Linked DNA regions of Lonchura striata. The protein of the gene in region 3 purifies or fractionates together with the protein of the main gene of each other region. This does not show direct contact. Links are inferred from orthologs where the notes say so. Each region holds a gene or a part of one and is shown on either strand. Other genes may lie near its edges.

Evidence for each region. The genes of interacting proteins can lie anywhere in the genome.
Region 1: the proteins of ESR2 (region 3) and MRPS9 purify together in Homo sapiens (affinity purification with mass spectrometry; 3 studies listed by BioGRID and IntAct, with this or other methods). This does not show direct contact. The link is inferred for Lonchura striata from reciprocal best matches to the Homo sapiens genes ESR2 and MRPS9.
Region 2: the proteins of ESR2 (region 3) and COPG2 purify together in Homo sapiens (affinity purification with mass spectrometry; 3 studies listed by BioGRID and IntAct, with this or other methods). This does not show direct contact. The link is inferred for Lonchura striata from reciprocal best matches to the Homo sapiens genes ESR2 and COPG2.

What each region holds. Positions count from the first base shown.
Region 1 is NC_134604.1:89,078,192-89,086,319, forward strand, and holds the start of MRPS9 (small ribosomal subunit protein uS9m), read left to right. Parts: upstream 1-4,708; 5' UTR 4,709-4,717; coding exon 4,718-4,783; intron 4,784-8,128.
Region 2 is NC_134607.1:71,935,418-71,943,459, reverse strand, and holds the start of COPG2 (coatomer subunit gamma-2), read right to left. Parts: upstream 3,421-8,042; 5' UTR 3,347-3,420; coding exon 3,310-3,346; intron 1,301-3,309; coding exon 1,248-1,300; intron 685-1,247; coding exon 604-684; intron 323-603; coding exon 251-322; intron 1-250. UniProt on the Homo sapiens protein: The coatomer is a cytosolic protein complex that binds to dilysine motifs and reversibly associates with Golgi non-clathrin-coated vesicles, which further mediate biosynthetic protein transport from the ER, via the Golgi up to the trans Golgi network.
Region 3 is NC_134608.1:7,192,525-7,200,582, forward strand, and holds the start of ESR2 (estrogen receptor beta), read right to left. Parts: upstream 3,383-8,058; 5' UTR 3,044-3,382; coding exon 3,029-3,043; intron 1,853-3,028; coding exon 1,380-1,852; intron 1-1,379.

The DNA.
Region 1 (8,128 bases), on a different chromosome or scaffold from region 3:
AGCCCCCTAAGTGCTGTGCCTTTTATAGCGTAACGTAATTGACAACCCTTAGGTAGCTGGTGTATGCAGTCTATGAAATGAAATGTGCTCGTTCCACATCGGAAGAAAAGTAGGTGCAATGAAATAGCTGTTGTTATTAGTCTTTTAAAATAGAATTTATATGTTTGCATTAAAGAAACATGACTTCTGGATATATCAGCCTCAAGCCTTTCAATAGTGATGAGGAAGATCAATGCAAAACAATTTCTGTGTCAAAAAGCACATACATGTCATAAAGTATCTGGAAATTACTTAACTGGAACAGAGTTAAAATACACCTGAATTGTCTGCATTTTTGAATTCATTTTGTTTGGTTTTTTTTTGTTCAAACACATACTGATCAGCTTCTGAAACACAAAGCTTTCTGTCAAGGCACTCTTGTCTAGTGCTCTCCTTAGACAAAATCTCCAATTTTTTGTTCAACACTGGATGTGGGTGTTCGTAAACTTCCCTTGGCACGAAGATAATCCAGCAAGTGCTCCTAGTTAGGCTCTGAGAAGTGTCCTATGCATGTGGATACTGTAACATCCTGAGATTTTTGTCACTTAGTCAGCCCCTGTTGCTTGCTGTCCCTTTTAGCACATGTGCCCCAGAACTTCAGCCAAAGTACTTACAGCATAAAGAAGAAAGGCACAGGGGAAAGAGAACAGAAAACACTTTACAAGAAGAATAACTTTAGTTCAGAATTCCGAAACAAATCTACTCTTTTATTTTGTTTAGGGAAAACATAAAAATTTAGGCATCTCTGTGGAAATGGATTTGGATTAGGGCATCCTGCAAAACTTTAACCCTCCTACAACTATTTGCTTTTGCTTCTGATGGATGGAGTCCCTCATGTCTGCTGCAGGTTATCTTGTTCTGTTGTAAGGCAGCAGATCTTGCTTCATTAAGTTCTGACCTCTTCTCCTCTGTGGGTTTTTTCCTATCTAAGCCTAAAATACACTCTTCATCTCATTACCAATGAGACTTTTGCTCTGTATATCTACCCTGTCTTTATACACATTCTACAACTTCCTTGTGAGAGGACGAGGAGGGGCAGGCACTGATCTCTTCTCTCTGGTGACCAGTGACAAGATTGGAGGGAAGCTGCGCCAGAGGAATGTTAGGTTGATTATTAGGAAGAGGTTCTTCCCCTTAGGGCTGCTGGGCACTGGAACAGGCTCCCCAGGGAAGTGGTCACAGCACCAAGCCTGACAGTTCAAAAAGCATTTGGACAATGCTCTCAGGCACTTGGTGTGACTCTTGGCAATGGTCCTCTGGAGGACCAGGGTTGGACTTGATGATTCTGATGTGTCCCTTCCAACTCAACATATTCTGTGATTCTGTAAGCACCTGTCACTGACAGAGTGAAGCCATCAGGCTCAATGGACCTTTAGGCTGCCCCAGATCCTTGTCAATTTTCAGACTGCTTCAATGAGGCAGTGAGCTGGAGAGCCATACATCTCCAGCACTGCCACTGGGATACCTGTTCCTCAAGCAACTGGTTTTCACACTACCCATACTAATAGCCTGAACTCATGCTATCTACCAATCCCATCTCTGATTACAAAAAACCACCCCAGATCTCATTTCAGGATTGTCTGCATGTAGGCTGGTAACATAAGCAATCAGCAACTTTGGGTTAGAGCTCAACCCTAGGCTTGTGCTCAAGAATTTGCATATACTACAGATATACCCCTCCATCTGTCCCCAACCCATGCACTTGACAGGCTCAGCCTGGTTTCCTTATTCTGCTTTCAGTAATTTTTCACTTCAGAAACCTCAAGCCCCACACAGAGGCAACCTTTTCTTTATGTCAGGCCATCCTCAAAGACGGCACCCCAAAGCTTTGAATAGTCCCAAATGATATGCTTACCCCTCATTATCTAAGTCTAAAAACAAAAGCAGGTAATGTGCTGCAGGCAGCAGTCCCCAGTTCTGTGATTGAACAGAGCATGAATAGCAGGTTACACAAGGACAAGGGTAATCAGGCTCACAATTGAAACAGGTCCCCAGAGTAGAACATTGCCCAGCTGGGCTCAAGAAGGACATCCCTGCCACCAAGTGACTAAAGTTCCTCAGAGGGCTTAGTGAAGCATTGGGGTAGTTTGCATGGATTAGGTAAGCATCTACAGTCTGTCAAGTAAACACAGAGACAGAAAGAGAAGCCCTTTGGAGTTAATCTTGGGATAAATAGATTAAACATGGTTTTCTTGCATTTCCCTTCACCCCTGCCGTAACAAATTTTCACAGAGGGATGGGGTGCAGGTGGTTGAGCATGTAAATAAACTCCGCTCATTTTTATCTTACTTTCATTTGTGCTAAAAACTGATTTTGAACTGGCAAATGCAGACCCCAGCCACCCAAGCAGAAGCAGAATCTTTCCATTAGTAGGAATCTTTCTGGAACATGCTAGCCATGCCTACCACAGAAGTACATTTCCTTCAAAAATCCCAAATAATAACTACATGCACTCCTGATCAGTCTAGAAAATGGTCACTCAGGGATCTCTGTACAAGTGTCTCCTAGGGGCAAGCAAGCACAAGCAAACTCTTTGGCAGAAGCAGGATTGTTGGGAAATACACCTGAAATTTGTGCAAAAATCTTCCACCTTGAAGGGGCAGCCATCAGTTTCTAAGGGCTGACAGCTCTAATGATCAAAGAGAAACATAACATAGCCCTTAATTGCTGGACTTCATATACACCACAGTCTCTATTTAGCAATGTGCAAGAGCAATTCTGTAACCTCCAGTTGAAACCATGTATGAACCCCAATGTCTTTGAAATCATGCTCCAGATTGCAAATGCATTTAGGATTTTTTTCCATGGTGAGCATAGGATTAGAAAAATGTAGGAAATCAAGGAAGTTGTATTTACATCAACTAGTTACCAAGAATAAGTGGGCAATATTTTATAGGTGGCCTGCTCCTCTAGCTTAATTGGTGATTAATTATATGTGGGGAATAAAACCCATTCACTCCAGTGGTGCTTTGTTTCTGTAGAGCTGCCAGGGGTGAGAAGTAACAATTGCTGAGCACAGTGAGGACTGAAGGGCTCCTCTGCTGCTGAACAAAGCCAAGCTGCAGGGCGACAGATGGCAGATGGGATTCACCATAGGCCGTGAAGAGGCCATACTCATCACTGGCATTCTCCACCCCTTCAGCTCTGCTGGCTGCTCCAGGAGGTGGGTCAGTGGGACTGTGACCCTGAACCAACTCCCCTTTTTCTCTTCTGAGAAACAGTTAGCAACTAAATGCCATCCCAACATACCCTGTGATGCAAAGCGTGGCTGCAGTTCCCAGCGCTTGGCCAGGTGTGCACAGGAGAGACACTTCACTGCTCTCCTTCAGTGCAGTGCTCATGGCAATCATTTGCAATGTATCCATGTCAGTAAAACTGCTGATTTTTTCACTTTCACAGCTGGCAACTGCAAGAATGAATGCACCTTTCCAGGCAGCTCCTCCTTCACCTCCCCACATGGATGACTTCCTTTGCCAAGGCCAGTTTTCTTATAACCTCTTTTATAACCCAGAGAGGAAATCATACTTTCATCTGCATGGGGGAAGCAATGGCGACCCATGAAAAACTTAACAAAAAAATAAACCTGGAAAAGCAGAGATTTATTTCCAGAATTTCCTCTGAAATAGTAACTCCTCTTAAAAAGAAGGTCCCTGTAAGTCTAAAGAAAAGCTTCTTAAATTCAGTTTTTTAATTAATTTCCACTACTCCCATGTAGAAAAAACTACTGACAAAATCCAGTTACCTATAAATGTATATCCCATGTAACTCAGAGCAACTAGCAACATTCTCAAATTCCAAGGTTCAGTATCCAGAGACATTGTCATCACCTTGGGAGATGACAGGATTGACATCAACCCCCCCTCAGTAAGAGATAACTTCTCTGTGTCTAAAATATGTCATCCAGAGAAAGGCAACAGAGCTGGTGAAAAGTCTGGAGCACAAATCCTATGAGAGGCACCTGCGGGGGCTGGGGCTGTTCAGCCTGGAGGAGAGGCTGCTCAGGGGGAACCCTCTCACTCTCTACAACCGCCTGAAAGGAGGCTGTAGCTAGGTGGGGGTCAGTCTCTTCTCCCAAGCAACCAGCGACAGGACAAGAGGACATTAGTTTCTTCACAGAACAGGTGATTAGACATTGGAATGGGCTGTCCGCGGTGGTGTCGGAGTCGCCGTCTCTGGAGGTGTTTAAGGAGACTGGACGTGGCGTTGTGCCATGGTTTAGCTGACAAGGCGGTGACTGCCACGGGTTGGACCCGCTGGCCTCAGAGGTCTTTTCCAACATAATTGATTCTGCAATTCCTTGATTTCTTTTTCCCCATGGGAAAAATCCAAACAAGGTGAAATCTGTTTTTTGGTACAAATCTCCAGAGCAGCGCTGCTGCCCCAGACGCACTGCAAGTCCCAGCGCTCCGTACTCGGAGTCCCGCTTTCAGCGCTGTCCTTCCGAGACAGGAGGCCGCGCCGGGGGTCTCCTGCTGACCTGGTGGCCACCGTGAATGTAACCCCAGGTATAAAAGCCACCGGCCTCCCGTCGGGGCAGGATTTCAGGAACGCCGAGGCGCCGCCGAGCCAAAGCCGGCGCCGGCCCCGGACGGCGGCCGCAGGCTCCGCCGGGGCGGCAGCGCGCAGCCGCGGCCCCGCCCCCGGCCCCGCCCGCCAATGGGCGGGGAGCGCCGCGGTGATGGCGGCGGCCGCGGGGCGCGTGCTGCGGCTGTGCCGCCGCGGGGGCGCGGGGCCGCGCGCGCAGGTGAGAGCCGGGCGGGCGGTGAGGGGCGGGCATGGCCCCGCCGGGCACGGCCCCAAGCGGCGACACGGCCCCGGTGCGGCGCTGCCCCTGCCCCTGGGCCGGCGGGGCTGAGGCAGCCCTGCGTGGGGAATGGGGAGGGCTGGCGCCGCGTTCAAGTTTCCGTGAGCTGTGTTTGTTTCCCTTGATGTGAAGAGGAAGACGCTTGGTTAAGCCTGGAATTAATAGAGTGACATACAGAGCAAAGCCAGCGTAAAAGATGGCAGGTTTTAGGTTGATAATTTTGAATAGTAAGCTGAAACACGAGAAGTTCCACCTCAACGTGAAGAAGAACTTTACGTTGATGTTGGTAGGGACTGGGGTCCCCTCCCCGGGGACCTTCCAGACCCCCCTGGAAGCATTCCTGTGTTACCTGCTCCTGGTGACCTTGCCTTGCAGGGGGGTTGGACTGGATCACCTCCAGAGATCTCTTCCAACCCTGATAATGCTGGGATTCTGTAAATTATATTCGGTCAGCAGGTGAGTAGATCACGAGGCACAAAATCACAGAAAGATTAGGGTTGGAAAGGGCCTTGAAGAACACCCCTAGTGCCATGGGCAGGGGCATGTTCCCCTAGACCGGGTTGCACAGGACAAGTCTCTGAATACCTGCAGTGGAGAGAGAAACGTGCTCCACAAGTGAGGTAACTTCTGATTAAACAGAATCATTTTGTTTTGGGGGGTAGGGGCGTTCAGCTGATTGCCATTTAATTAAAAAGCTTAGCTGCTGTCAGTATTGTTTGTACAATGGTATTTGATACACCTGTATATATATTTAATCAGTGACCAGCAAGTGGATAAAAAGGCCTGCTGGTAATGCTTTCAAGTTACAAAGTAATTTAGGATAATATGGGCTGAAGAACTGTTGGTGACTGAACTAAACCAAGCCATGGGGTAACAGAAGAAAGACACAGTAAGAAAATGAAATGTAATACCGGAAGGAGCAATTTGAGCTATTTATATTGGTTACATTTAGATTAACTTTACCCATTAGGGATAAAGACCTGGTGCCCATGTGGGTAGTTCTTTATGCAGCAATCAGGAATACATGCTCTTAAGGTGTGCAAGGAATAACAAAGAGAATAAAGCTGAAAATATTCTAATACTTGTTTTCATTCTCAGTTGGAATAGTCTGTGTTGCTTTGGTTGTCTTGTGTCAAAAGTATGATTATGATAGTAACTTGGTTTTCCTGGCGAGGCACGTCCTTAAGTTTTAAGATTTGTATTGTAAATGAGAGAATGTTCTCAAAGGAGGAGTCACAGAGAAAGGTGGGACTGGAAGGGGCCTTGAGGGATCATTTATCTATTCCTCTCAGCCCTAGAGAGGGGATCAGTACCTAAGCCTGTGGCTATACACAAATTGTCTAGCTGTCTGTGAACCAAAGAATGTGAAGAGAACTAATGGGAGACAGAGCCCAGAAACCTTAGAGACTCTTTTGTCCGTTTGGTGTAGTTAACTTGTGGAACTGTTTGCTGAGAATGTTCAGGATGGTAAGCATTTATGTGAATACAAAAATCAAGTTGAGAAACTTGGAAGAACATTCACTGAGCACTTAAAAAAGAAGATAGTGGCATGCCTGAAGTACAGATTGCTGGAAACCAGGCAAATGCCCTGGGAAAATTATCACTACCTGTTTGTCTTGTCCTTGTGCCTCTCATATGGGCAGTGTATAAGTTGATGTATCCATGTTCTGACCTGCTATAACAATTTCTTACATTAAACGCTTACCTGTCCTGACTGTTTTATGATGCTTATCCTCCAAATGTCTTGCAGTTGTTTAGGTCATTACTTCTTGTTTGTCTTTGTGGGAGAAAATGTTTTATTTCTTAACTTTAAAGTTTCTTGCACTGAAAGGCAAAATGGAAGAGGAACTTTGTAATTGCAGTTCCCTGAGCAACAAATGTAGTTTCCTATTCTTCCAGAAAGCAAACAACAGAGATGTAGTACTATTTATAAAGAAAAAATGATCTAGCTTAGTTAGATAGCTATTCTATCATTCACTCTGATGTGATTGAATAGCTAGTCTCAGCAGAAGAGTTCAGAGTTCCTATTTAATTTGACTGGTTTGAGTACTTTATCTAAATCACCGTGGATGTTATATGTACCAATATCAGAAAGAGATTATGGTACTTTGGTGACAGACTTTCAGAAATACATACTTTTACTGTAAGAGAAGCCTTTTTTGCAGTTGTTAACTAAGATACAACTGAAAAGCCTCTTAGTACCTGAAAACTTGAGCCTAAAAACAACTAGATCTGAATTCTGTTCCCTGTTATATACAGCATTGATGCATTTAAGAGCTATTTTTTCTTCCCCGCTGTATAGCAAAATTTAATATGTAGATTTTTTTAAACATGGTTAAAATCTTCTTTAAAGAAAGCAGATTTTCTGAGCAGGTGAGATACTGTTCTATGGTTACTTGCCAAGGGACTTAATTTTGAAAAAAAAATCTTCTGACGAAATACTTTGTGAAATCAGGTATAAAAAATAACATAAAATCACTTATGCATATTTGTTGACATCTTGTGATGCTTTCTGATGTGCTTTGCAAAATGCTTCTGAGACATCCATCTGATACTGGTTTATATAATTAGATTGTAGGCTAACTAAAATCTAAGATTATATCAGTGTTGTTTTAAATAAATCAATTAAAACACATATTTGTGAAACAGTACTCTAGAAATCCAAAACTTGCTTATTGAGGAAAAAGCAATTCTTTAGAAATTGGGATGGCTCTGAGCATTTATATTCTGTATAATTGCTATGTAAAAAATTATTTTTCTTGTGCAACAAGTAAACAGAGGACTGCTTGCATGTCTGCTGGGTTCAGGAGCATCAGCTGTGCCAGAAGCTGGAGTATTGGACACTGGGCAGCTTTAGTGCATAGTGATGTGGTTATACAGCTCATTCCACGTAGTGAAGTCCTTAGTGAAGTCCTACCCCAACTTGTACCCCAACTTCTTGGTACAAATTTGTTTGTGTACTACATGGGTTTTGAAAAGGAGGTGGTTGAAGTCTGCTAGTTTAGGGCATGGAAGAATCATGAAAATGGTGCAACACTATATGTGCCATGTCATGGGGTGTCATCTTCCGTCTCTATTACTGTGTCTTGTTGTAAAATGAACAACTTTCGGGCTTCAGTTTAAATCTCCTGACTCCAGTCCACCTTTCCTCCCAATACAAAAGTACAGGAAGCTTGACTTCCCTGTTTATTGGTTTGGTTTATATCTGTGTAACTCCAGTGAAGCAAAATTAACAGGATGAGTAAATACAGTCCTAGTTCCTTCTCTTCCTGGAAGAAAATAGGC
Region 2 (8,042 bases), on a different chromosome or scaffold from region 3:
AGATTTGTGAATCCAGGCTTTGCCATTATCCCCACTTTTACAGCAGGAATTCACTCAGAACCCACCTCCACCCCCAACCCACCCCACAGAACAACCACAGGTTATTATCCACTCCTCTGTTTCCAAAGCTGGAACTGCCTCCAGAGCTCCTCCTGTGCACTGCTTGCCTCCCACATCCCAAATTCCAAAGGTTTGGCAGCTCCTGCAAGCCCAGGCAGAAGCAGGGAGAGGCAAAGCACCAGGTCCTTACGTCGTTAGACTGAAACAACCTGGTCATGGCAAAAAAAGCTTCCGTGGCTTCCGTGGTTCCGAAGTGTTCACCCTGGAATTGGCAGAGAGGAAAAGCAGGAATTATCCAGCTCCTTTTGCTAATGCCCTCCCACACAGCAGGAATCTCTCCTTGGAGACTTTCTCCTGTAAGAAACCATCCTTGCATTCCCAGGGAATTCACAATTCTCTCCACTCTAAATGCCCTCCACAGGGATGGAAGCTTCCCAAGGTGTTTTCCTTGTGGAAAACTTCTTTCCCTCTAAAAAGATTATATATTTCCCACTAAAACATTATTAAAATTCATTCTGGATGGAGAGAAATCCTAACAGTTACCTGGTTCAGCAGGTAGAGGATCTTGGTAAGGATGTGGAGGCATCTTCGTGGGTTTATTGGGGTTTCATTGAAGAGCCGTGCCTGGAAATGAAACAAATTCTGCTTGAATAGATCCCAATAATAATAACAATTTTATTATTATTTCTCTTTCAACATCAAAATTAAATGAATCTGTTTCCAGATGAGCAGCTTGTAATATGTATTTGTATTAAATATGAGTCTCAGAGAATGTGCAGAATTAAATGAATGTTTCCAGCTGAGCAGCTTGTAATTTTTATTTCTATTAAATATGTGTCCCAGAGAATGTGTTCTTGCATCTTTCGTTTGCAGCAATCTGAACAAAGCACAAACAACTCAATTTGCCATCTGGAACAGGCAAAAATGCCTGAAAATAAAACATTTTTTGTCCAGGAAGAGCCCCCTGAGATGCCACATGTCCATATGGAAGGCAGAAGCCACGTGTCATCTAATTATCCTAAAAAAAACCCTCATTAACTGCAGATAAAATTAATTTATTTACACTCTCTGTGATTTTTATTTAATTCTATGAATTTAGCCATCCACATTTCCCCACAATCATTCTGCAACGCTTCCTGAAGGAAAAGATCATTAATGAAATGGCATTATCCTGTGATTACTCCTACCTCCTGAAGCACAGCACTCTTCTCCAGATGCTGGAAAGGATTGGAGCCACTCCCTGAGGAAAAAAAAGAGACCTCTCAGTTGAGGAAAAAAAATTAATTCCTCACACATCCCAACTGGTCTGGACAGGCAGGAACACCCCCAAAATTTTACCAAACCACCTCAAACCAGTGATGTTCCTCTCTGAATAATTGATGTTGGCCATCAACAGCTTTAAATCCACTTTCTTAAGTGATATATTCAGAGTTATAGAAAGAAGGTAAAAAATAAAAAAAAAAAGGAGAGGAAGAAGAAAACTGTTATTTAAAATGCCTTTTATATACTTAATATTTTTAATACCTAAATGGCCTTTACATAGAACTAATTCCTTTTTCTACTTTCCTAATGTACCTGTTTTTATTCCTTCAGGCACCAAAAGCAGAGATGCAGATCAGGATGTGAAAAAAAACTTTTCAGCCACATTAGTCCCACCCACAGCCTCACTTCTGCTCCCGATCCTCTCCTCCCAAACAGGAATTCCTCATTTCCAGTTCACTTAAATAATGTTTTGTAACCAAACAAAAAAGTCCACATTACAAACTCCAAATAATTAGCTATTAAATTAAAAGTAAAAATAATTTAAATATAATTTCTTAATTAAATAATTTAACCTTAAAAAAACCTTACCTAAAAAAAAAACAATTAATCATTTTATAACTTATTAATAAAATATCATAAAACTCACAACTTATAATATCAATGTAAGTCCCTGGTGTGAATTCCAGATACGCAGGCACAGCTCAGACAGAGAAAGTTTGGAAAGGCTCCTCTGAAACATTTTGGATTTTGCTTTGTGCAGCAAAATGACTAAAAAGAGAGGTTTCTTTTCTTTCCATACATCAGCTCACCGTTCAGGGTTAGGGTTATTATTTAGGGTTTATTATATAAATACATAGGGTATGTGTGTTATTATGTTATATAGGTTTAGTATATGTATATAAACACATGTAATCAACTCTCCTTTTTTTGAGGGATGAAACATCTGCACTGAGCAGAGACAGGGATAAAATCCTCTCTAAAAATCATCTGTGGATAAAGGGAGAGCAAACAGACCCCAATTCCTCTGGATTTGTCACCAGAGGGGAGAAATATTTCGGCAGTCAGTTCTTACAGCTGAAACACAAATACCCCACGAGCTGTGAGAGATCACAGACCCACGGGATGGCTCGGAAGGAGATTTAAGGATCATTCACTTCCACCTCCTGTCATCAGCAGGGACACCTTCCACTATCCCAGCCCGCTCCAGCCTGCTCTTGGCCACTTCCAGGGATCCAGGGGCAGCCACAGCTGCTCTGGGAATTCTATTTCACCTCAGCATCCCTCTCCACTTCAGCCATTCCCTCACCCCTCAGCCATTCCTTCCCCTCAGCCTCTCCCTCAGCATCTCACTCACCCCTCAGCCTCTCCCTCACCTCAGCATCCCCTCAGCATCTCCCTCACACCTCAGCATTTCCCTCACCTCAGCCATTCCCTTACCCCTCAGCATCCCCTTAGCAATTCCCTCACCTCAGCATCCCCTTAGCAATTCCCTCACCTCAGCACCCCCTTAGCAATTCCCTCACCTCAGCATCCCCTTAGCAATTCCCTCACCCCTCAGCCTCTCCCTCACCCCTCAGCAATTCCCTCCCCCAGCATCTCCCTGCCCTCAGCATCCCCCTCCCCTCAACTCAGCCTCTCCCTCACCTCAGCCATTGCCTCACCCCTCAGCATCTCCCTCACCCCTCAGCCTCTCCCTCACCCCAGCTCAGCCTCCCCTCACCTCAGCATCTCCCTCAAACCCCTCAGCATCTCCCTCACCTCAGCCATTCCCTTAGCAATTCCCTCACCTCAATATCTCCCTCACCCCTCAGCATCTCCCTGCCCCCAGCTCAGCCTCCCCTCAGCTCAGCATCTCCCTCACCTCTCTCATCTCCACCCCGCTGTCACCTCGGCATCCCCCTCACCTCTTCCCCCGCTGTCACCCCAGCACACCTCAGCCCTCTCCTCGCCCCAGCACCGCTCTCCTCACCCCCAGCCCCCCCGTACCGGACTCCTCGTCCTTTTTATCGAACTTCTTGATCATGGCGGCCCCGCTCCCTCCGAGCGCCGCCGCCTCAGCTGCCCCGCCGGAAGCCCCGCCCCACCCCGATCTCTGGCACCTGATTGGATAGCCCCGCTGTCAATCAAACTCAAGCCAAGCCACGCCCCCACCCGCGCGCTGAAAGGGCGGGGCCAGAGCGAGGGCGCGTCTTAAAGGAGCCGCGTCGTTATTTTGTGAGGGGAGCGAGGTTGCGCTGGCGGGCGGAGAGAGAAATTAATGAATAAATGAATAAATGAATAAATATAAACTATCTGCGCTCCTGGCTGAGAAACAGGGACTCGTGTGGGGTTTACAAGGAATTTCCATTGAATTCACATGGAATTCACATCGAATTTACACCGAATTTCCATGGAATTCACATGGAATTTCCATGGAATTCACACGGAATTTACATCAAATTCACACGGAATTTCCATTGAATTCATATGGAATTTCCTTCAAATTCACACCGAATTTCCATTGATTTTTGCACTGAATTTCCATCAGATTCTCACGGAATTTCCATTGAATTCACACGGAATTCACATCAAATTCACACTGAATTTCCATCGAATTCACACTGAATTTCCATCAAATTCACACGGAATCCACATCAAATTCACACCGAATTAACAGAGTTGTATTAATTTTTATGTGAGATTGAAAATGGAATAAAAGTTCTTAAAATGCTTTTTAGTGGTCTCATTTTGGGGTTAGAAATGGGTATATTCTGATAAATTTATTTTGGAATTATTCCTCTTCCTGCAGGTGGCTGAGATTACAAAACCAAGGTGAGGTGTTGTTTTGTGTGAGGAAAAACAGGTTTTTTTTGGAGTATAATAATAAGGGTTTTTTTGAGTAGAATAAAAAGGTTTTTTGGAGTATAATGTTGTGTTTGGTATTTTTTTTTTAAGAGTGTCAGTGATCTTTTAAAGGGTTTTTTGAGGTTAAAATGTTAAAATTCTAGGAGATTTGATGGTGTTCAAATGAGATGTATTATATATTATATTAAATATTATATATAGCACTTATTACATGCATTATTATAATATATAACGTTTTCTATATTGCAATATATTAAATGTTGTGTTTATGATATTGTTTAGTATAAGTTATATTTTATTACATAGTATTATTTATTAAATGTGTTATATATTATATACTATGTATAACGTTAGATATATTACATATTGCAATATATTATGTAATGTGATAAAATGTGATATAATGTAATGTAATGTAATGCAATGTAATATAATATAATATAACATAATATGATATAATACATAATATAATGTGATATGATATAATGTGATGTGATGTGATGTGATATAATATAATGTGATGTGATATAATTAATATAATATAATATAATATAATATAATATAATATAATATGTAATACAATGTAATGTAATGTAATATAATATAACATAATATGATATAATATTATATTATATAATATAATGTGATATTATATAATATGATACGATATTATATTATTAGAATAGAATAGAATAGAATAGAATAGAATAGAATAATTTTATTACTTTATATTATTTTATATTTTACTTTTTATGATTTAATTTTATTTATTATTTATTATATATTATTTAATATTTATCATTTAATACTTATTATTTTTATTTATTATTATTATATTTCCCATTTCATTAGCCTCTCCGCTGAGATTACTCTCTCCTTCCTCAACACTTTACAACCCCCCCAAAAACCTGGGGCACAACAGAACCACCAAAACCCCCAATTTTAGACCCCCAACCTTTTTTTTAACCCGGGAACCTCCGGGATTGGCTTTTCCACGGCTGGGCAGCAGGAGCAGGCCATTTACCCCAGGATTTATCCCCCCAGGACAACGAGGGAAAATCAAACCCCCGCCAGGGATTCTTCCCCAAATTTCCTCCCACCTCCAGAAGCTCAAAGCTCTTTTTGCCACGCTCCCAACTCTGCATTTTCCACTTGGATTTTCCTCATCTCAGCCAGCTGCCGGCACAGGAACTGCTCCCAAACCAAATCTCAAAGCAAATCCCACAAACAAGTTTTTCCTGCAGTTTTTCTCCCTCCGGAACAACTTCAAGCGCTTGTAGAGGTCGAGGAGAACAGCGCAGCTTTAATTCCAAGGGGAATATTTGGATTTTATTTCCAAGTTTTCCCAGTGATTTAGCACGGATTCAAGACCCCCAGCCTATCATAACTCACAGCAGAGCCAAGTGGAATTTGATTATTGCTGACTTTAAAGATAAGCTTTAAAAAGGAAAGATAAACTTTCACCGTGAAAGTAAACTTTCAAAAGGAAAAATAAAATTTAAAAGGGTTTCCCCAGCTGACTGGAATTAATTCTAGAAAGCGGAAAAGGAACCAAATCCCACGTGATGGACATTTATTTATTCCTAGAAAGTGAGGGTGGAAAATCTTCCCTCTTCCTTCTCGCCCCTCAGAGAATGCAAAAAGGTCCAAATTCACTTTTGTTTTTTTTTTTTTTCAGGAGAATCCCTCTGGGAATGTTATTTACAGGGAAAAGGGGACGTGTCCAAACCTCCAGCTGGAATTTTCACAACCTCACGTTTGGCTCAGTGCTCTTCCGTCCTCGAATAATTTAATCGCAATTTTCACAACCTCACGTTTGGCTCAGTGCTCTTCCATCCTCAAATAATTGAATCGCAATTTTCACAACCTCACGTTTGGCTCAGTGCTCTTCCGTCCTCGAATAATTTAATCGCAATTTTCACAACCTCACGTTTAGCTCAGTGCTCTTCCATCCTCGAATAATTTAATCGTAATTTTCACAACCTCACGTTTGGCTCAGTGCTCTTCCGTCCTCGAATAATTGAATTGCAATTTTCACAACCTCACGTTTGGCTCAGTGCTCTTCCATCCTCGAATAATTGAATCGCAATTTTCACAACCTCACGTTTGGCTCAGTGCTCTTCCGTCCTCGAATAATTGAATTGGCTCAAATAAAAGCTCGGGACCAAAATCTGCTCATTCTCTTTGGGAAAAAGCTGATTCTCAAAAACATCTGAGAACTGGAAGTCCCCAAACCAGATGCCGAGACCTTGAGCGACCCTGTGGCCAAAATCCCCCGGCGTGGTTTCACAGCTGGCTTTCCCCTCGCACCGAAAAGGAGCTGAAGTTCCAAAAAATCCCGCCGGAGATCCCCCGAGGTGGCCACAGCTCCTCTGGCTTCCTCAGCTGTGGGGTCACGCTTCTGCCACCCCAGCAGGGACACATTTCCCTTGGAAAGTTCTGGAAAGGTTGGAGTCGCTCCAGGCCGAGCTCATAAATGCAGCAGTGGCTCCTTCCCACCACCTCGTTTTTACCGATTCTGACAAATTTCAGCCAAAAAAGGAAAATTTTGGTGGTAAAACCGTAGCAAGTGTTACATGCGGTGTGTTTTAGCTTTTATGAGTGCGTGACGTTGATGGCAATGCTTAGCATTGGATCTCCTCCTTCTCCTCTTCTTCTCCTCCTTCTTCTCCTTCTCTCCTTTTCTTTCTCCTTCTCCTCCTCCTCCTCCTTCTCCTCCTCCTTCTCCTCCTCCTCCTTCTCCTTCTTCTCCTCCTTCTCCTCCTCCTCTCCTTCTCCTTCTCCTCCTCCTCCTTCTCTCCTTCTCTTTCCCCTTCTCCTCCTCCTCCTCTCCTTTTTCTCCTTCTCCTTCTCCTCTCCTTCTTCTTCTCCTTCTCCTCCTTTTCTCCTTTTTCTCCTTCTCCTTCTCTCCTTCTCCTTCTCCCTCTCCTTCTCAATTTCCTCCTCCTCCTCCTTCTCTCCTTTTCCTTCTCCATTTCCTCCTCCTCCTCCTTCTCTCCTTTTTCTCCTTCTCTCCTTTTTCTCCTTCTCTTCTCCTCCTCCTTTTCCTTCTCCTTCTTTTCTCCTTCTCCTTCTCCTCCTCCTCCTTCTCTCCTTCTCCCTCTCCTTCTCCTTTCCTATTCCTCCATCTCTCTTTTTTCTCCTTCTCCTTCTCCTTCTCCTTCTCCTTCTCCTCCTCCTTTCTCCTCCTCCTTTCTCCTTCTCCTCCTTCTCCTCCTTGTCCTCCTCCTCTCATAAAAAAAAAACAAAAAAACTCATAATTCCCATAACACAAAATGTTACCATAGGATTTTTTTCCTTTCTCCATCCCTCTTCATTTCCAAGGTGTGGGACTCAGATTCAAAGGAAGAAACAGAGTTTCTAGCCAGGCAGAAACCTGGGAAAGTGCTGGGAAAGAATGCAAATAATTCTTTATTTCTCTTGTTTTTCACATTGTTTATAGTGAATTTCTATCACTGTGCGTCAAGCACTTTGCACCAATGCTTTGGGTTGTTTTCATTTCAGAACCAATGGAGTTGGTCCTCACAAAGCTCTGTATAAAGAGCAGTGTATTTTGAATAAATCGGAGTTTTACTCTCACAGCCTTCTGGTCAGAGTCTTCTCATTCCCATCCTGCCTCGACAGCGACACCAAGGCAATATTTTGACTTTTCCAGGTGCCTCCAAGCACAACGCGCAGCGCTGCTTTGGGACAGAATCCAGGCCCAGCAACTGCTTCTTGCTGCATTAATAGTAGGTAATTAAAATGGAAGTAATGAACCTGATGGGAAACCATCCCAGGCTGCCAACCTGAGCTTTACGAACTATTTTTTGGGATTGTTTTCCCCGAGCACATGGAATTATCAGGGATGAATCACAAATACTTCTGAGAAGACG
Region 3 (8,058 bases):
ATACTCCAGAATTTCTTTATTCTCTTTAAGTTAGGTCATCATCAGCTGCATGAGAAATAGTCCTTATATATCCATACAAATAGCTGATGATTATTTATTTAAACTCCAGTGGGACAGGTTTGGCTTCCCTTCTGTCTGTTGTAGAGTGGGCACTGCAGAGCATCAGACAGGGTGCTCTTGCTCCTGGGTTATTCCAGCTGCTATTCCAACATCTGGACAGCTTCAAACCCTAACCTTCCCAGGGCTGTCTAAGTTTTGGAACCTTAACCAAAGTGAAAAGAGTTTGGATTACCCCTGTTCACATCAAAGCTGCTCGGGGAATTCTTCTGTATGTAAGTGCTACCCAAAGAGTCTTTCCCAATCCACACACCTACACTGAAAGCACATTTGCACTCCATAAAGCCCACCCATTGCAGAAGGAGTGTGGGTAGTCTCAAAAATAGCACAAATCCTTTATTAACTATTGAACTTAAACTGTTACAGGACACACTATTTTTCATACTCCAAATGACTGCTGAAGTTAAATAAGGAGGCCTATGAATAAACATACAGCTGCTGAAGCAGGAACAGCACCTGCAGACTCCGAGCTTTTATCCACCCAGCTAGTGTTGTGCCCAAGAATGGAGCAATTTCATCAGCTGATGATCCAGATGCTGATTTGGGTTTGCAATATGAGTAAACGTGCAGAACAAGAATGTGCTTTTGCAAACAGACTTTCTTGTCAGCTGCAAATTTAGCCTGTGACTCTGCTCTTCACAATAATTTTATGGAGTTAGTTGGGAGCAGCAGCAAGAAACAAAGTCAGGCTTTTTCAGCAGCAGCCCCCTTTTAATGTCCTGCATGCTGCTGTGTGACTGCTTATACTAAAGCCAAAAATCAAAGAAAACATTTCCCTTGGATTTCAAGTTAACAAAAAGCCTTCACATCTCTTAGAAGCAGTAAAAAAAAAAAAAAAATCTGGGTAAAAATTAACTCAATATTATATGAAAAGGCAAAAAGAATTAGTATTTCCCTCTTTCACTCAAATGACTTAATCTGACAGAGCAGAATTAATTTTGTTACACAAAATAGTACTTAGCTGTCTTGGACTTTTATTTGCACAATGTAAACTGCTCCCACACTGAAGATATTTGTAATGCTCTGTGTTGGTGTATAGTACTCTAAGGAGGTATTGGAAAAAAACCCCTAATTTTAGAAGTTACATTAAAAACAAACACACACACTCCCTGAGTGATTTAGTGTCTAGCGGAGTTACTTTTTGCGTCGTTTTGTTTTTCAGAGGGACCAACACTTTAATTTGAATGCAAAAAGAAAAGAGTTGAGCTAAGGAAGCTGTAAATAATACCCGGGCAAGTCTGAAAGCAAGAAGCAGCACTGACCTGCTCCCGGGCAGCACTGGCTCCATGGGGCGAGCCTCGCACCAGAGGCTCTTGGGCTGCTCTGGGTACAGCAGGGAGGACTGGCAGTGCAGGCTCAGGGGGGACAGGTGGCCAGGAGCAGCCCACAGGGCGCTGGGGCTGGAGGTTTGCCTCGCCGTCACGCCCTCCGCGTCCCCAAAATTGCTGCCAATGTTGTAATTGACCATAGCGGGGCTGCAGAACGCCACGGTGGAATATTCGTGCCTGTTTTCCATGAAGGATGAGGGAATGTAGAGTGGGCTGTGCTCTGCTGTCAGCGTGGACTGGTTGCAGTTGTAAGGGACTGGAGAGATGACACCAGCAGGTGAGTTTTTAATTTCTGTCTTATTGCATCCAATATCCTGAAGTGGAAGCAACTGAGAAAAGTCCTTGTGAGAAGATGTGCACAGGGACATTTTGAAGCAAGATTGAAGAACGCTGTTTAAATATTCATCCTAAGACAATAAAGAATAAAAAAAAATAATTAAAAAATAAAAAAGCTCTGCATTAAGTCTTTTCTATAAAAGAAAAAAGGAACCAGTAAACCAGATAACATCTTGTGAAAACAGATTACATATAAAATGCACTTAAATAGTCAATGCACAAATTTACAACCTTTAAGAAAAAGAAAGCTTTCTAGAATATCCTTAAAAATAAAAGCTAAAACACACGCTGAGTTCAGACTCCCTTAAAAAATAATAATTTTAAGAACAAAACTATTTGAGGTCTGCTTGAAACAAAGATGAAGGTGACAACTTGGATCTTACCAGGAGTTACAACCGGGGTAAATCTGCACTCTATCGGAGATAAAATTACCCCAAGGTCCACAGCTATAGAGGAGAAATCAATTCTCTTTACAACAACTCACCATCTCCTGTTGTTAACTGCACTACAGTTTTCAGCCTTGTACTTCAGGGTGCTTCCCTTTTCCATCACAAACACGCAGCAGCAGATATTTTGAAAATAGACACACACACATGCATATCCCCCCCCTACACATTCCAATTCCAGAACTCCACTGCACATCCCTCTATGCAGTGGATGTCAGCAAGGTGCAGATTCATCTCTGAGAGGTTCCTGGGCATGGCAGCTCTGAACAGAGCCATTATAAAAGTAGAAGTCATAAAACGCAGGTATTTCCAAAGCTGACAACAAAACTCGAGTGATTTCATAAGGTCCAGAAGTTTCATAAGTCCTAGCAACTCTTCATCCTCATCCCAACTACCCCTGCCCTTTCTCAATTGCCCACAGTAATTACTCTTTGCCAGATTTAGGCATATACAAATTATTTAAGAGAGAAAAAAAACCAAAAAACCTTCCAATATTATCCTCCTGAGACAGACCCCTGTCCTAGAAGCATTATTGTACTGTAGCATTAAAAACATTTTTTCTTTATTCTTCACTAGGAGTTTCATCTGCAGTTCATTCCAGCTCTGAAGACAGACCTAGTTTGCAATTCAGAACAATTCTGTATCCAAAACAGCAGCTTTCAGCCCCCTGAACTGATATTACAATGTACTTTTGCATGTGCTAATAAGATCCTAACATGAGAAACCACAGGATAACTAAACATTCACCCACTGCTTTGCTATTACACAACTGGTAAAGGTATAGATGCTAAATGTTCTTACCTTTTTTTGCCTCATATGACCATAAAGCAAGATGAGGAAGAGTCAAGCATGGGTTTGTTGAAGTACCAGCAACCTCCCTGTCCCCAAAGCTCTCAGCCCCATGGCATTTCTATTGTGCCACCTTAGAGTATTGATACATTTTTCTCCTTTAGGGTGAGGACAGAGTAGAAGCATTAACAGAAATGTAAGAAATAGTCTTTTTGACTAAAATGGACAGTTGGGAGTCCTTCCTCCCTCCTCACTCTGCACTCTGGTGATGAAACTGAAGATATGTGTAGAAATAACCAGAAACTCATTTAAATCAGCTCAGGCATTTTAAACCCAGCTGCTGTTTTTTCCTTTGTGGGAAACAGGAAAATGAGACATCTCAGCAGCTGTTTGTGTCCAGCAGTTCTTGGACTGGAACTCCAGAGCAGTCAAAGCAGGGGATTCTGACCTCGCCCCACACACTTCATCTGCCCCCACCAGATGCTTCACAGCCTCCTCCAGGAAAAACCAGGCATCGTACAAACTTCACTGCAAAAAAACCACTGATAAACTCAAAAGGTGCTTTCACTCCCAGATTAGGGGGTGGGTCATTTCTTAGAAGGAAATGATGGAACAAAAAAAAAAAAATATAGGAGTATTTTCAGGAGTTACTATGAGTGAGCCCAATGAGCTCACTGGATTCAGCACACATTTAAAGAGTCACTATAAGCAAAGCTGTATTCCCCTTGCAGTCTCAGAGGCTGCAGGTATCCAGGATGAGCATGGGCAATTCCAAATTCTGCCAGAGAATCTGGAATGCCCAACAAAAGCTGTCTGTGCTTACTTTGTCCCTCTGCCTCCTTTGGAAGGGCACACAGCACAGGGGAACCCCAAATCCTTTGGAGGGAAGGACCTGAGCAGCATCACAGCAACATCTGTGTTACAGTCAGCTAGAGACATTCTGCTGTGCCAAAACTGAAAAATTGATTTAGCAAATAAACGCCTGCATGCTGTAGAAGCAGGGAGAACACAGAGCTGCTACTATGGAATTTTATGAACAGGAATCAGCTGAGATTTGAGTCATGTTTTTCTACAAAGAAAATCCACTAATGTGCGTGTGCTTAGCAGAGGAGATATTGTCTCCACAGCATTTAGAAACGTTCACAGAAGTTACCAGCAGCAAGAGTGAAGCTTGTTTTAGGGGAAGAGTTCACACAAGCATAAGAAGTAAGTACAGCCTTCCTGAAAAACTGCTTATAAATTATTTACAAAAAAAGGAGACTCTGGGGTCCAGCAGGTTAAAGAAAACTGCACTCATGGTCTTCAGCAGGCTGTAATGTAGTGAAAAAATAACAGTATTGATTTGAGATTATTAGCTTGGGTAACAGAAATAGTCCAGGCACAGTAGACTATGGATCTGCATGAGATCTCATTGATCACATTTCTTCACACCCACACAATTTAAAATGAAACTGCTCAGAAAGTCCTCAAGATTGGCTGCTGGTCTGTGAAGTTGTGTCTCTTAAAGAACTGAAGACTGAGGGAAACAGATCTCAAGGTCTGAGACTTGAGGAAAACTCCACAAACACCTCAGAAGGAAGCACAACCACATTTAATACAAGGATTACAATAAGTAGTGAAATAGGCTAGTAAATTTGTTCCATCCTGGTATAATGTCCTCATATCTTAAACACTACTCACTAAACAGAAATTAACTACTTCCTAAAGTGAACTTCTGTCCCAACACTCCCTCTTCCTCTGAAAAAAGATTTTAAAAGCAAGATTCAATGATAAAATACATTATTTAGATGCAGTCTGTCAGCTCTTCACTAGATCTGTACCAAACACAGAAACAAAACAGGTGTCTATTATTTTTATATTCCAGTCTCCTTGGAGCCTGCAAATATTTTAATCCACTGAAGTCAGTTTAGCTTAGTGAGATATTCAACAACTGAAATGCCATTATTAAGTAAACAACAGCCATTCTGGCCAGTTCCTCGAGTAACACTTACCATTCACAAATCTAAGACACTACAGGCAGGATTCACTTCTGACACAAAGCAGCTTCATCAGCTCCAGTACCCTGAGGATGGCACCACTATCCATGAGGAGGTCAGGAAAAAACAAATGTTATTAATGTTCTCCACCAAAAAAACAAAAACAAAAAACAAAAACCAAACAAAAACAAACAAACAGAAAAAACCAACACAACCAAAAAAAACCCAAAATCAACAACAACAAAAAAAAAGGACCAAAACAAAAAAAAATAGGTTTTTTGTCTTTGAATAACTCTACAACTGAATGTATCTCAAGTCACCATGCAAGGCATGCCAGGTGAGGCACAAGGACTGGTTTAGATGTCACAGTCAGACACATGGGTAAATAATTAAGCCATCTGACGTATTTCAACAAACTTGAAAGCCTCTTATTGCACATTACCTATACCAAATACCTCTTTAAAAGCCTTGTGGGGAAAAAGAAAACTAATTAGGTTTTTTTTTTCTTAGTTTTATGTTTGTTTGATTGTTTGGTGGTTTTTTTGTTAGTTTTGGAAAGGGGAAAAATAGGTAGAGAGGGTAGGGTGGCTGCTTGGGAACACAATACAATAGCTTTTCCTAGAAAAGTACAACACTTCAAAAAGCAAGGAGTGATGCATGTTCTCAGGCACTCTTCCATCAACATACACTACAACGTGCTTAGCATTTTATATATATTTAGAGTAAACATTTTTTGCAGTAGAGAATCAAGATGACCTTTTTCTCTGCTAAGCTTAGACTAAAGTGCAATCATTGAGCCTTTGGGTTTAATGGAGGTGATTCAGCAAGTGTTGCATTCCACCACCCCACAGCCAAAGATCCTCAGTTATCTCACAGAGCATTCTATTAATATTCTGTTAAGTTACATTTTACACAACTCCCTGCAACAATAAACTGAATCATCTCCTGGAAAAGTGATTATTAAAAGAAAGTCATTCCTGATGCGTATGATACTTGTGCTTCAGGTTTTGTGACAAACTTATTACTCATTAAACACAGCAGGGCCAGATATTGCCAACAGAAGGCAGGCAAGTAAACAAGTTTATTATTACCTGAGAAGCACTGGATGCAACAAGTAGGGGACAGATAGGGAAGCAAAATGCAAACACAGCTATCTGTCCAAACTTCAGATATTGTACTCATTCCTCCAAAATTAATAACCTGCCCCCAATGACATCAAGAATTACTCTAAATAAAATCGTGCAGCTCAAAATCACACAGGAAAAAGTACTTTGAAACAAGCAAAATGAGCACTCTTTAGTCTATGCTAGCCTTTAAGTTACTCAGAATACTGGCAACTTGTAGATTATTCTAAACATTCATAAATACATTTCAGAGCTCAATGGATCTGACATGGGGGCACCAAAGGAACTGGATTTGTTCCACTAGAGGAGTAAACAACTTTGGTCTTCTACCCTTTAAAGTGGAGTTACAAACACAAGGAATCCAGACTCTTTTTACGGAAAGTGCGCAAGTCAGGAGATCACAGCCACATGCCAGAGCAAGGGAAATCCCAGTAGAACATGGGAAAAATTCTCCACAGTGAGAATTCAGTCCAGGAACAGGATACCCAGAAAGGCTGTGAAATCCCTATCTTTGAAAGATTTTTAAAAATACTCACTTTGAGCAGGATGCTTGATTAGTTGCTCTCTAGATCTCCCTTCCCATTACTAAAAAATATTTTCAGATCTCAGTTCAAACTAAATTTAAGTTTGACTTTACTAGTTTTTAGCCTTTAAATTTGTGGACCATTAAAATGTTACCAGATCTGAGAGTGGATTTAAGCTTTCTATTATTTGCATCTCTTAGGTATGTTTCATAGACTTTAGGGTTTCAGACACCAGAAATGAAAAGCCACTGTCCTGCTCCAGAATACAAATGCAAAACGAGACACTTCAGCTCCTTTACTCTCCATGTAACTATTTCAAAGTACTGTGTGGAGTTTTTGGTCCAAAAGAATATTTGTATTTCATGATGAAAATTTTAGTGTGTTCCATTAGAAAAGAGACATCTGTTTAAACTATTACACAAGTTATAAATACAAGGATCTGAGTATTTTGTGATCATGCTTCAATCTGCAACAGTATCATGGCAGAAGCCAGTACAAAGGATAGCACCCTTTTCCAGCAAGAATTTAATTATTAAAAAAGAAAAAAGTATCTCCTCTGATGCAAGAAATGGCAGGAAAGAGCAGCATGGGGATTTAGATTTTCACAGATATGGGATGACCATCTGCATCCAGCATCTCTGAAGCACACTTGGATCTCTCAGCACATACCAATTAGGGAAGCTAATTCTAAAAAAATTATTCTTGTTTTGATTTCCACACCACAGCTCTGTCCCAACAGCATGGAATACACCTGCTCCTTGGATCCAGGAGGAATTAATTTTTTAAATTAATTAATTCAAGCCTTCCTTCAAGATTTCTCTCTTAATGACAGTGTCCTAGAACAAATGTACATGTTACTTCCTCCACTCCATTTCCTTCTGGTCATTTGCAAAAAGTGTATTCACAGAAATGTAATTGAGTCTGTGAATGGTTTGGGTTGGAAGGGACCTTGAAGATCACCTAATTTCAATCCCCCCAGCCATGGGCAGGGACACATTCCAGGAGACCAGGCTGCTCAGAACTCAGTCCAACCTGGCTTTGAACACTCCCAGGGATGAGGCATCCACAGTTTCTCTGGAAAACCTCTGCCAGTGGGTCACTATCCTCACAGTAAAGAATTTCTTCCTAATATCCAGTCTAAACTTCCTCTCTTTCAGTTTGAAGCCATTCTGTCTTGTTCTGTCACTACAGATCCTGGTAAAAAGTCCCTCTTCAGCTCTCTTGGAGCCCCTTTAGGCACTGGAAGTACCAAAGCGTTCTCCTCTCCAGTCTGGACAACCCCAGCTCTCTCAGCCTGCATTCATATGAGATGTGCTCCAGCCCTCTGATGAATTTCATGGCCTCCTCTGGACTCACTGAATCTCGTGTTCTTCATCTTTCTCGTGCTGAGGGTCGCAGAGATGGATGCAGCATTCCAG